Caenorhabditis elegans: one gene and its partner. The protein of the gene in region 1 purifies or fractionates together with the protein of each later gene. This does not show direct contact. Each region holds a gene or a part of one and is shown on either strand. Other genes may lie near its edges. The genes, in order: ctf-4 and lig-1.

Region 1 (6,222 bases):
AACTCTGTATAAGTGTATCACGTATACAAATGACTACTCTTCGACATTCAAAATCGAGGAAATGGTCCTACCTGCCAGTCTGGGCTGAGTTCGAAGGCGAGCTTGTCACCCTTCCACACCCAGATTCCTGAGATGGTCGAATTGTTGTCGGTTCCGAAAAGAATCATGGAGGCGAAAGCATTCTTCTTCAACTTCTCCAGTCTTTGGTACATTCCATTGATAAGGTTACAGCTCATGAAGGCGAGAGTGAGATCTTCTGGGTATTTGTACTCGCACTTCCAGATGGACCAGTTGTCAGCATCGAAGTTCTCCCAGAAGTGTGGGATAGCCTTGGTAGCGGTGTCTTCGTTGGAATAAGATCTCTTGAAATTGTCAAGAACGAATGTTCCCTTTGGCATATCTTGGAATGGATCCTTGCTCTTCTCCTCCTTTGGTTCATCGTCCTCTGGCTGGGCAGCCGCAGCAGCTGGCTTGGCCTCTTTCTTTGGCTTCTCGGCCTTTGGAGCAGACTTGGCGACTTTAGCGCTGAGCTCAGTGAACTTGGCTTCTGTAAAATAAGAATAAAATTTAAACTGGGAATACAAAATCAGAAGTTTTTTTATAAAATTAGATTTCTTTTTAAATGTGTGGGACATAAACTAAGGTAACTTAGAATTGACTGCAGGACAACCCTGTAAACGACCAGTGCTAAATTTCCAACTCTCAGTCCCATGAAAAACGTTCCGAACAAAGCAAAAACAAAAACTGTTTCAAGCAAAGACGGTGTACATAAATCTTGATATTCCACCACTGTAACGCCTACTAATCGATTGACTAGTCTGCTGACTTCGCAGTGGAACAAAACAAATTCACACTAACAAAAAAGAAACTTACGGTTGAATTGAGCAACCGATGAGGCAAGGGAAACTTCTCCAAGAACCTCCTTAACAGCTGGCTGGTTAACAACGGTTCTGAACCAACGGGTGACGTTGACGATGGACTTTCTAGCGTTGGCATCAAGAACATACTGAAAATTAGGAGTGTATACATATAATCTGGGTCATAGTGTACTTGGAAAGCTGGGAGAAGATCAAGAGCAACGGAAACGTCGGCAAGAGAAAGACGTTCTCCAACCAAGTAGGTCTTTTTAACAAGAACACGATCGAGTACTTGGAGTTGTCCGTTGAGTTCATTCTTGTATTGTTCAACAGTCTTCTTGTCAAAGTTGGCTGCAGACACAGATGGAAGAACGTATCCGAGAACAGCTGGAAGAAGATAACCTTCTGCGAATTGAAGCCATTGGACAGTCTCGGCGTTAGCTGAGGTTCCAGTCAGGTGAAGTCCGATCGACTCAGCTCCGAAGAGAAGAGCATCTCCTTCAAATGCTGGGGTCTGAAATTCTGCACATTGATAGTTCACAGATCGTCAAATACTGACATCTAAATAAATTAAAACGTACAACTCCAAGTGGGAACTTGTCAGCTGGAGCAGCATCTCCGGCGAGGGTGACAGTCTTGTTGGCGAGCTTGGCAGCAATCAAAACCTTTTGGGTTCTGAAGTTGTCCTTGTTTCCATACAGTTTCTGCAAAATAAAAATCAATAATTGGTTAAATTTCGTCATTTCAAGGTTTGGCCTAATCATTTTTCAATGCAACGAACGGAAATCACGTTAACTATTCTTAACAGCACTGCAAATTTAATGAAATTAATTTTATAAACTTACTCCGGTCATGATGTCACCAACGAGTCGGAGAATCTAGTGAAGCGACGCTCAAAGAAGAGGCGCTTGAAAAGAGTGGTGTTCTTCAGAGGAAAAATACACTGAAAAGTCTGCGTATGTGCCCCTGGCAGAATGCCAGTACGCAAAACATAGGGGTTCTACGCAGTTCACTGGTCCATGGTTGCATTACACTTTTTTACCGCATTTCGGCGCCAAGAATCAGGTTTAAAATTTGCTCGCATTTTATTTATTTTTGATGAAAATAAATAATTTCACTCGTAATTCCATTGTTTTCAGATGAGCTTTACTAACGTTAAAAATTTGGAGAATATCGGCCTTCAAACTATCTGCATTGATGCTTCAGGAGAAGATACTGAAAATGTAGGATTTAAAACGATTTATAAACATATTTACCTGTTTTTTTCAGATTTACGTTTGTGATGCTGAACGAAATGTACTCAAGATCAATAAGAACGTGTTGCTGCAAGATGAAAAACCTGAAATAATCGAGATTCCCGATGCGACAACATCATCTATTGCTTGGTATGGAGAAAACATCTGTTTTGGTTACCGCAAGGTGGATTTCATTGTTGGATCCGAGCAGCAAATGGTGGGACGGGCGAAAAAGGGCAATTTCGAAGCAGGAGATATTATTGATCCTCTTGAATTCCAAATGGATGTCACAACGGTCGACGCAAACAGGGAAAATGTTATTGGAGGATCTAGCGATTATGCGGTTAAATGCACGAATATGAAAGATTTAGATGCAGAGCTGAAAACGAGAAGTCTTGAAGCTGAAGTTCTTTGTGTCAAACTGGATCCAAAAAATGAATTTGTGGCCGTTTCTACTGTGGATGGCAATGTGACTATTATAGACATTGATTCATTCTCGATTAAACACACACTGACCAAGGTTTTCCCAAGATTTGAAACAATTGAGTTAGTGTTTCATGTTATACTTCGGTTTTAAACAATGTCCTGTTTTTCAGTGTTTCACGACCTCGTATTCAACTCTCATGGTCAAAGGATGGTCAATGGCTGTTTGTTCCTTCAAAAGGATGTGTGAAATCGTACCGTCGAAATGGGTGGGAAGAATCTGGTGTATACCGTTTGAAAGATCATGCTTCTGTGGATTTTTCGGTTACTGCGCTTTCGCCGTGTGGGAAGTATCTTGCCTCCTCAACCATGGATAATCAAATTGCTGTTTGGAATAGTGATGAATTGTAAATTTAGGTAAATGTGTGAACTGATAAATAATACATTTTTTCCAGAGATATTGTGTGTTGTGAAAAATTCGTGAGAAATGCACCTGGTATCACTATCATCACTTCTATTGTTTTTTCTCCATTCTCCCCAAAAAAATTGATTGTCGCTGATTCAAATGTGAGTTTTTCCCTTTTCGAGCACTTTCAAGTAACAATATTTTAGAGAGGAATCTGTTTGTTTAATGTCTTCAAAGATGATTCATCTAACGAGAAGCCTGTTTCAAACAAAACTGAAGATGTTGCAGTTGATAGTGATGATGACGACTCAATCCTTTTGAATAGAACTTCACTCAAAAAAGATAGTTTATTCAATGAAGAAGCCATTGAAGAAGATGAAGATACCCGAAGTGAGGGATTGTAAATATAATTTCTCTTGATGTTTTAATTTTAGTGTCTTCCGATCTTGGAGCTATCAAACGACAATTCAATTATGGGAACCAAGATCTTGGAGGGCTTGAAGAATTCGGTTTTAAACTCGGTGAACCTGAGGAAATGCGACCGATGAGCTCGGACAGAAATTTGAATGATCCTCTCCCGCAAGTCTATTCTGATCCACCTGCTCCCCGAAAAGTTCTTATTCCTGAACGATTTGTATCTAACAGCTCTCCAATGGATCTCGACGCAACACAAAGGTTTCTGAAGTATAATCGATTCGGAATTATTCGCAGCTACGTTAACGAGGCAAATAAAGTTTCAACGATAGATGTAAGTTGTATAAGCTTGCTTCACAACAAGCGTTTTTTTTTCAGATCGAGTTTCACAATAAAAGCATCCACGGTGATATTCATATTGACAACTTTGAAATCAACTACGAACTCGCGGATATTTCGTTGAAGGTTGTTGCACTGGCAAGTGTTGAGAGCCGGAAAAAAGAGAAAGAACTTGACAAAGCAAACGACGACATTGAAGATCTTGAAACTGATGAACCTGCTAAAACAGAAAAGAAAGGAACTAGTCTTCTACATGTAATTCCAATTCAAGCATTCGACAGTCAGCGGTGGTCGATGGTTCTTCCTCGTGGAGACGGGTGTATTGATGTGCTTTGCTCAAATACTCAAGTCGTTGTGCTCACGAAAAAACGAAACATTCGAGTTTTCACTATTGGAGGAATTCAACGACAAATATTCACACATTTCGCACCAATTCTCACAGCTGCTTGCTTTGAAGACCGACTTGCAATCGCTTCGGTGTGTGGATCGGAATTTTATGAACAGAAAAAGACACCTCAATGGAGATTCGAAGTTGTAGAATATACTTTAAATCCAAAATCATGGTATCGAGAAAACAGACATCATGGTTCAACTGGAGCAGTTTCCCGAATTGATGTGCCTATTGAGACTGGAGAGCAATTAGACTGGATCGCTTATTCAAATCAAGGAAAACTTGCCGTGATGGATTCAGCATACACTGTACATGTTCTATCCGCTCCAGGTCTGTGGATTCCTATTTTCCAAGGCTCTTCTGCTCTGAGAGCACCTTCGGACGCAATTTTCCCGATTGGTCTCACAGTGAAAGAATTTCGATACATCTATTGTCGCGGATCCCGATCTCCCCTTGTAAATGGAATCAATGCACCGACTACTGTAGAATTCAAAGTACCATTCTGTCAACCTGAAAGCCATCGAACTGAAATGGAACATGAAATGTTCCTCAAAGAGCTATCGTTAGCTGATGCAATACTGGAACGTAATGGTGACAGTCATGTTGAAGAGGCAAAGACTTTAACCAAAACTATTGTAAAACTGTTTGCCTGGCTTACAAAAACCAATTCTGATGGTCAAGCTGCTGAAGTTGCTGCTCTAGTGTCTGGAGGAACATCTGCATCCGCTAAAGCTATTCAGAGCTTGTGTAATTACGCCAGTAAATGCAAAAAAGTGGCTTTGGCTGAGAAGGTTGCTGAAATTGGACGTCGACTGACAGAAGATGATGATGATCGTAGCTGCAATGACACTGAAATTTGGCCAACAAAGCGGATTGCATTAGCAGCAAGAAAAGCACAGAAGGCTCCTAGCCCAACTGTTGAATCATTGAATGAAGATCAAACGAATGATGGAGACGAATCTTCTTCTCGTTATAATCTAAATATGGACGTCTCTATGATGTCTCAACCTGTTCAACCATTGGAACGGCTTGCAAAAAATCCGTTTGCCAAAGGTTCTGATACTTCTAAAATTGATTCAGCTGCTTCTTCGCAGGCATCATTATCTATCTTCGATCAACTTGAAAGCACATCAAATGACCAAAGGAAACGGGCTCGCGAACCTGAGACAGTCACAAGCACGAATCAAACTGTTCGTAAACAGGCCAAACTTAATTTCGGTGGAACTCAGCAGTCTGATGAGAAGAAAAAGAAAACGTCATCAAAAAATTCGGATCTTGGTCAGAAAGGAAAAGAAAATGAAGCAGAAACACTTTGTCCAATCGAAGAGCCCGCGAAAAAAAGGTAGGAATTGTCACAATTTTCAGAAGGTTCATTTATTATTTCAAAAAAAAAATCAAATTTTCAGTGTGAGTCCGTACGAGATGTGGCTGACGGAGTCGAAAAGCAGCCTTGAGTTTGACTTTGATGGCGATAATGCTGATTTTTCAAAGTTCTGCATTCAAACGTTCCGCGCACTGAGTAAAAATGAAAAAGAAGAATGGAAAGCAAAAGCACTGACTGCTGCTGCTCAAGACTAATTGCAATTTGCTTGTTACTATTTTGATTCAATTTGTACCATATAAATTTGACTACGTCACTTACATCTGTTCGTCATTGTTTTCGATGTTTCCAAGTGCACAAAGAACGCTCAAAGTTATCTTTTACCACCTGCGTCTCATAGTCTTTCGTTTCACTTTCAATTCAACTGAAATAGAGTGAAAAGGAAAGAGTTGGAAGAGCCGGCCCAGAGTGAAGAGCCTCCTCTTTCACTTCCTTCAAGGTCTCCAGTTCCTCCAACTTTTCTTTATCTTTCTTTTCCCCGCCCTCCTCCTCCACCTTTCCATCTCTTCCAATGGTCCTTTTCCATGCTTCTCCCCTCTTCGCGTGTGTCTGTGTGTGCTCTTCTTTCGTGTCATTGTGCCACCTAAATCAATTTCCCTCGTTTTTTTGTCGTTGAGTATGTGCTGCAAGCCTAGGGGACCCTCGAATAGTGCATGAATTGATGAGACGTAGACACTTTGCTTCTTTTCTGAGCTCCCGCGACAGCCGCTGCCACCGCTTCTCGTCGGCTATTTTGCTTCAAACTAAAAGTTTGAATTCATTTTTTTTACTCTTCT
Region 2 (4,927 bases), 150 kb from region 1:
TGGTTGGACGTATACAACTCCTAACGCCAACAAAAGATCCAAAACAACTTACTAATCGCTTTTCTCACCAATATATATGAATTTTCCGAACGTGTAGAATGACAGAATTGACAATTCAGTCTATCTTTTATTATAGACTCGCAGCTCAATTAAACTCTTACTCAAAACTACCGTTTCTTATTAGAAATAAGTAATCCTAGACTGGTACTACATAGCCAAAGCATTTGAAGTATATGTAAATGAATTACAGGGAAATTTTGAATGTTTTCCACAAAATTGTGAGAAGGATACCTGTTACGATTCTTTCCCGATACGCTTTTTTGGATAGTAGCGGATTCATGGAATGACGTGACAAATTCACCTAGATTTGTTCAAAGTTTTAATTATTGCTTCAAAGTTTTAATTCTAAATAAACTTTTTGTTTGAAACTTAAGAATATTAATTGAATTGGTTTGAGGCATCAGAATGTCTTATGCTTTCTGCTCTCCCGTATTGAACTGCAAATCGAATTTTGCGGATGCGCACTACGTAAGTCAACGACACAACAGAAGAATGCACGAAGGAGAGAAGATGATTCAGGAGTACACAGACGTGGTAGAATGTAGATATACATTTGTCTTTTTAGTAAAGTTTTACTATGTGTTTGTTTCTAGGTATCTAGGTCAGCGTCTATCTCTTTCCTAAATAGAAGACTCAAAATCCAAAGTTCTGAATAAATCAGTTGAAAGTACAACACATTCGCACACATGAATGAGTTGTTTAAAATGACCGGCCGTGAACAAAAGAAAAAGTCGATGTGAGGTATTTACTTAGAAAATTAGGAAACATAGTACAAAAAGTAAATCATTGAATATGCAGAAATGTATCTCAGTATTAGTTGCTTGGCATTAGTCGGAATCGGAATCAATTGCAACGCGAGACCTCTTCTTTGCTGGCTGTTTCTTATTAGTTGAGGTTTCTTCATCAGACTCGTCAGAATCAGAAGGCAGCTTCTTCTTTCTGATCGGAGATGGAGATTCCACTTTAACGTCTTTTTCATTCTTCTTTGTCGATGATGAAAAGATGCTAGCAACTGGTCCTTTCTTTTTCTCTGCTTCTTTCTTTATTGGTGAACTTTTCACGGGCGATTTGTTAACTGGTGAAGATTTTACAGGCGGTTTCTGGAAATAATATATATAATTAGCGATAATGGTAATTTCAAAAACTAAAACCTTTTCGAATTTTTTCGGGGATACTGATTTAGGAGTCTCTTTCTTGATCTCCTCTTTCACTGGATTTTCTTTAGAACTTCCTTCAGATACATTGGTCATGTTCAACTCCTCCTCTTCATCTTCTTTTTCTTCAAATTCGTCATCCTCATCAACTGCATCCGCCTTTTCGATCTTCTGGTTGGCAAAAGCTTCTTGGTTTTTGTACATTTCAAGAACTTGCTCCGAAGATGTTGCATCGTCGGAATTTTTATCGTCCCGAATACGCAGGAAACGAGGAAATCTCAAAGAGATTCCTTTTCCATCATCCGTCAATCCACTTGCAGCTTTGTGACGCGGAGATATAGTAATATCGGCACATTTGACTTCGAAAACAAGATACGGAGAAAAAGTGTCATCTGGTTTAAGAGTGTGATCAAATTGATAATAAGAAGGAGATTTGTCAATTTTCTTGTCTTGTAGGATCTTGTATTGCTCGGCCAAATCTTCATCAGTGAAACCAGTTCCAATCTTGCATACACTTTCGTACTCTTCTGTAGTAGGATTGTAACATCCGAGAAGATATCCTCCATACACTCCAGTTCTCTTTCCAACTCCAGAATAAGCACCCATGACGACAAGATCCAACGTATCTCCTACTCCATCAACGTAATCTTTCTTCATTTTCAACCAGCTGTGGGAACGTCTTGAAATCTCATAAGTAGCTTCAGTGTCGAGAGTTTTGATCATGAGTCCTTCGCATTTATTTTGAACGGCTTCATCGAAGAAAGAGTTGATTTCATCAGTATCATTTGTATCTACGGAAGTTGCAAAATAGAAGCTTCCATCAATCTTTTTGAAGTTTGTTCGAAGAAGTTCTCTTCTTTTTCGGAGTGGTTTTCTCACGAGAGGCTCCCCATTGAAGTAGAGAAGATCGAAAAGAAAAACTACAACCTTGACTCCGTTATCATCAGTTGCATTTTTCCTTTTACGAGTCGACAAAACTTGGAACGGAAGAATTAAGCCAGCCTCATCGATAGCTACAACTTCAGCATCGACAATAAATGAAGTTACCCCATCCCCGATGCAGGATGAAATTTTTTCGATAATATCGGGGTACTTGGTAGTGTTGTTCTCTTGGTTTCGACTGTAGATGAAAATTTGCCCGTCTTCTCGTTTATGAATCTGGCCGCGTTCTCCGTCATATTTCCATTCACAGGTCATTGTCTGATTTCTGAATCGTCGCATAATTTCATCAATTCCCTTTGTAGGGTGAGCCAGCATAGGTTTCAGTGGAATTCCGGGTGAAAGTTTACATTTTTCGACAAGAGCTTCCACACCTTCAGTCAGTGCAACTTCGATCAGACGATTGTAGTTAGGGCATTCGCTGAAAATTAATTAGATGAATAATTTAATAAAGAAACAATTATTACCAATAGGCGGTCTTTACTCGCTTAACATTTGCATCTTTCAGAGAATCGAGTTTGTCACCACGAACCTTTTGATCAGTTATTTTCGAAAGAGTGAATGCATGTCCAAGTGCTGATAGAACACTTTGTTCACCGAGACCGATTCTCATTTTGCCGGCGAGCATTCGGACGAGGAATCGAGCCTCAATTCCTTGACATGCAATGAGGAGTGCACTAATGGCATCAACTTTCTTGTTCATAGCTGAAGTGCCACTGAGCTTTGCAATTTCGGTTAACTTGTTGAAAACAGTTGGAACAGTTAATGCTTTTGGAACAGCAAGCATTTTCTGATTGGATCTTGACTGTTGTGCGACAGTCCCAAGATCTCCTTTCGCGCGAAGATCTTCTTTAATTTTTCCCTCTGTACGTCCGGTCGCTTTAGCAACAGCCTTAAATTTTCTTTATAATTTAATATAGATTCAGTGGAATGCAAACCTTGATCAGCGAATTTTCAGCAACTCCAAGCTCGAGCCCTTCATACGATGGCCCGAGCTGATTAACTGACATGTACACGCACGCTGTTAAATCGTCGGGTGAAAAGTCCAGAACTTTGGTGAAAAATTGAGCCAATTCATCCACTTTCTTTTTTCCCGATAACTCTTCGATTTTCTCAAGGGTGAGAGCAAACTCCTTGTAAGGGACTCTGAAAATTTAGAAATAAAAAACAGTATGTTCCACAAAAAACTTACTTTGAACCCTTTGCCCATTCAACAGCGGCTTTGCCAGCTTTTGAGAAAAACATCTGAAACGATGAAGATGTGAAATTTACATTATTCGAGAAGAAAAGGTTTCGAAGATGAATAATTAATACGTGAAGGGATACAACGTAAAATACTTGGCAGTGTGCAAAATCAAGAGAATATCGAGCAAGTATTAAAAATAAAGTTGTATTAATCGAACCAGAAAACGATACATTTTGAACGGCGCGCGCACCAGATGCATTAGAGCACGATTGCGCGCACATGAGAGAGTGTGGAGACTAAGAGACATAGACAGTTAAAAACCGGCAAATCGTAAATGCTTCTTTCCTTGTGATTAAAGTCGACGTTATTAAAAATAGAAAAATGGGACATTGAAAATACCATCGTCTATTTGCTTTTTAAAAGATAGTGAGAGACCTATAATTAATAAAAAAAAGAATATTTAGACAACACATTTGAACCTACCAAAAGAAAAGTTCATTGCTACCGTACTCCAATGCCTGCACATCAAAAATACCGACTTTCAGCACGTCGCGGAAAATAACGGCATTCAGTTTCTTTCACGTGTTTTCAGCTCGACCATTCGGTGTAATTTGTGCAAACACCGTCACGCGCAAATGCAGACATTTTTGCACGCGCTGCGGTGAAATTCCTCTTGGCGAATTCAAATATTTTTTCCCGCCTTTTTTGAAAATTTTCGAGGCGTTAGTCGAGCTGAATACACGTGTCTTTCATCGATGTTCATTTTCTAACACTGTTTCAGAATGTCCCTGTCACAGAAAAAGGACCTTCTCGATGAACTACATAATGAGGCTGCAAAATGGTTGGCAGTCCTTCTCGATTTGTGTAAAAATGTAAAGGCGCCAGAGAACCAGCGAAACCTAGTCGCCTGGGCACAGAAGTGGATGGATGGGGCCGGAACACTCACTGACGAGCTTGAAGATTTTTCCATACGTGTTCACGTGGCAGAAACTGTGTCGGAGGTATAGACGAGAATGTGTTTAACAAACATTTGTTTCCTTTTTCAGATCAATCCTGCCGACAATGCTCCAGTTATGGAATGCCTTGTTGATGTCGTCAATGCAATAAATTCCATCACACAAAATATGTACAAAATTGTCAATAACGACCAGAACAAGCGATTGTTCATCGCGTAAGTTCAAAAAGTAAATAATTGGATTAAAAATATCATTTCAGAAAGTCAAATGCTCAAAGAAAGCATGCAAAGTTATTGAATGAGAAGGAAATTGTTATGAGACGACTGGAGCAATTGAAGAAAGAGCAGCTGAAGAAAACAATGGAATCCGAAAAAAAACTGAGAGATCTTCAAGCTGAAAATATCCGGCGAGATTTTCAAGAGCAGGCTCGTTCACAAGCTATGAGAGATCACGAAGGTATGAATTTCAGGTTGATTGATTTAATATTTATAAACTGTTTCAGTTTACCTTGCTTATGCGGAAGCCATTAATTCTGTAAACGTTACACCTCATTTCGAACATTTTGAGACCCCTGCGGAAGACATTTCTACACCCTTTGAATCGCCCAATCTTCCGAGAAAACGTCGCTCTCG

Evidence for each region.
Region 2: the proteins of ctf-4 (region 1) and lig-1 fractionate together in Caenorhabditis elegans (co-fractionation; one large-scale study listed by BioGRID). This does not show direct contact.

What each region holds. Positions count from the first base shown.
Region 1 is NC_003283.11:10,961,314-10,967,535, reverse strand, and holds ctf-4 (WDHD1/CFT4 second beta-propeller domain-containing protein), read left to right. Parts: upstream 1-1,996; coding exon 1,997-2,080; intron 2,081-2,126; coding exon 2,127-2,638; intron 2,639-2,688; coding exon 2,689-2,922; intron 2,923-2,970; coding exon 2,971-3,082; intron 3,083-3,127; coding exon 3,128-3,311; intron 3,312-3,355; coding exon 3,356-3,669; intron 3,670-3,713; coding exon 3,714-5,407; intron 5,408-5,471; coding exon 5,472-5,643; 3' UTR 5,644-5,702; downstream 5,703-6,222. Other genes in the region: eef-1G (putative elongation factor 1-gamma), read right to left, coding at 72-547, 874-1,006, 1,051-1,371, 1,439-1,561, 1,703-1,711.
Region 2 is NC_003283.11:10,812,584-10,817,510, reverse strand, and holds lig-1 (DNA ligase 1), read right to left. Parts: upstream 3,399-4,927; coding exon 3,346-3,398; intron 3,300-3,345; coding exon 3,092-3,299; intron 3,046-3,091; coding exon 2,621-3,045; intron 2,575-2,620; coding exon 1,212-2,574; intron 1,161-1,211; coding exon 888-1,160; 3' UTR 793-887; downstream 1-792. Other genes in the region: C29A12.1 (uncharacterized protein), read left to right, coding at 4,122-4,340, 4,386-4,510, 4,555-4,751, 4,798-4,927. UniProt on the Caenorhabditis elegans protein: DNA ligase that seals nicks in double-stranded DNA during DNA replication, DNA recombination and DNA repair.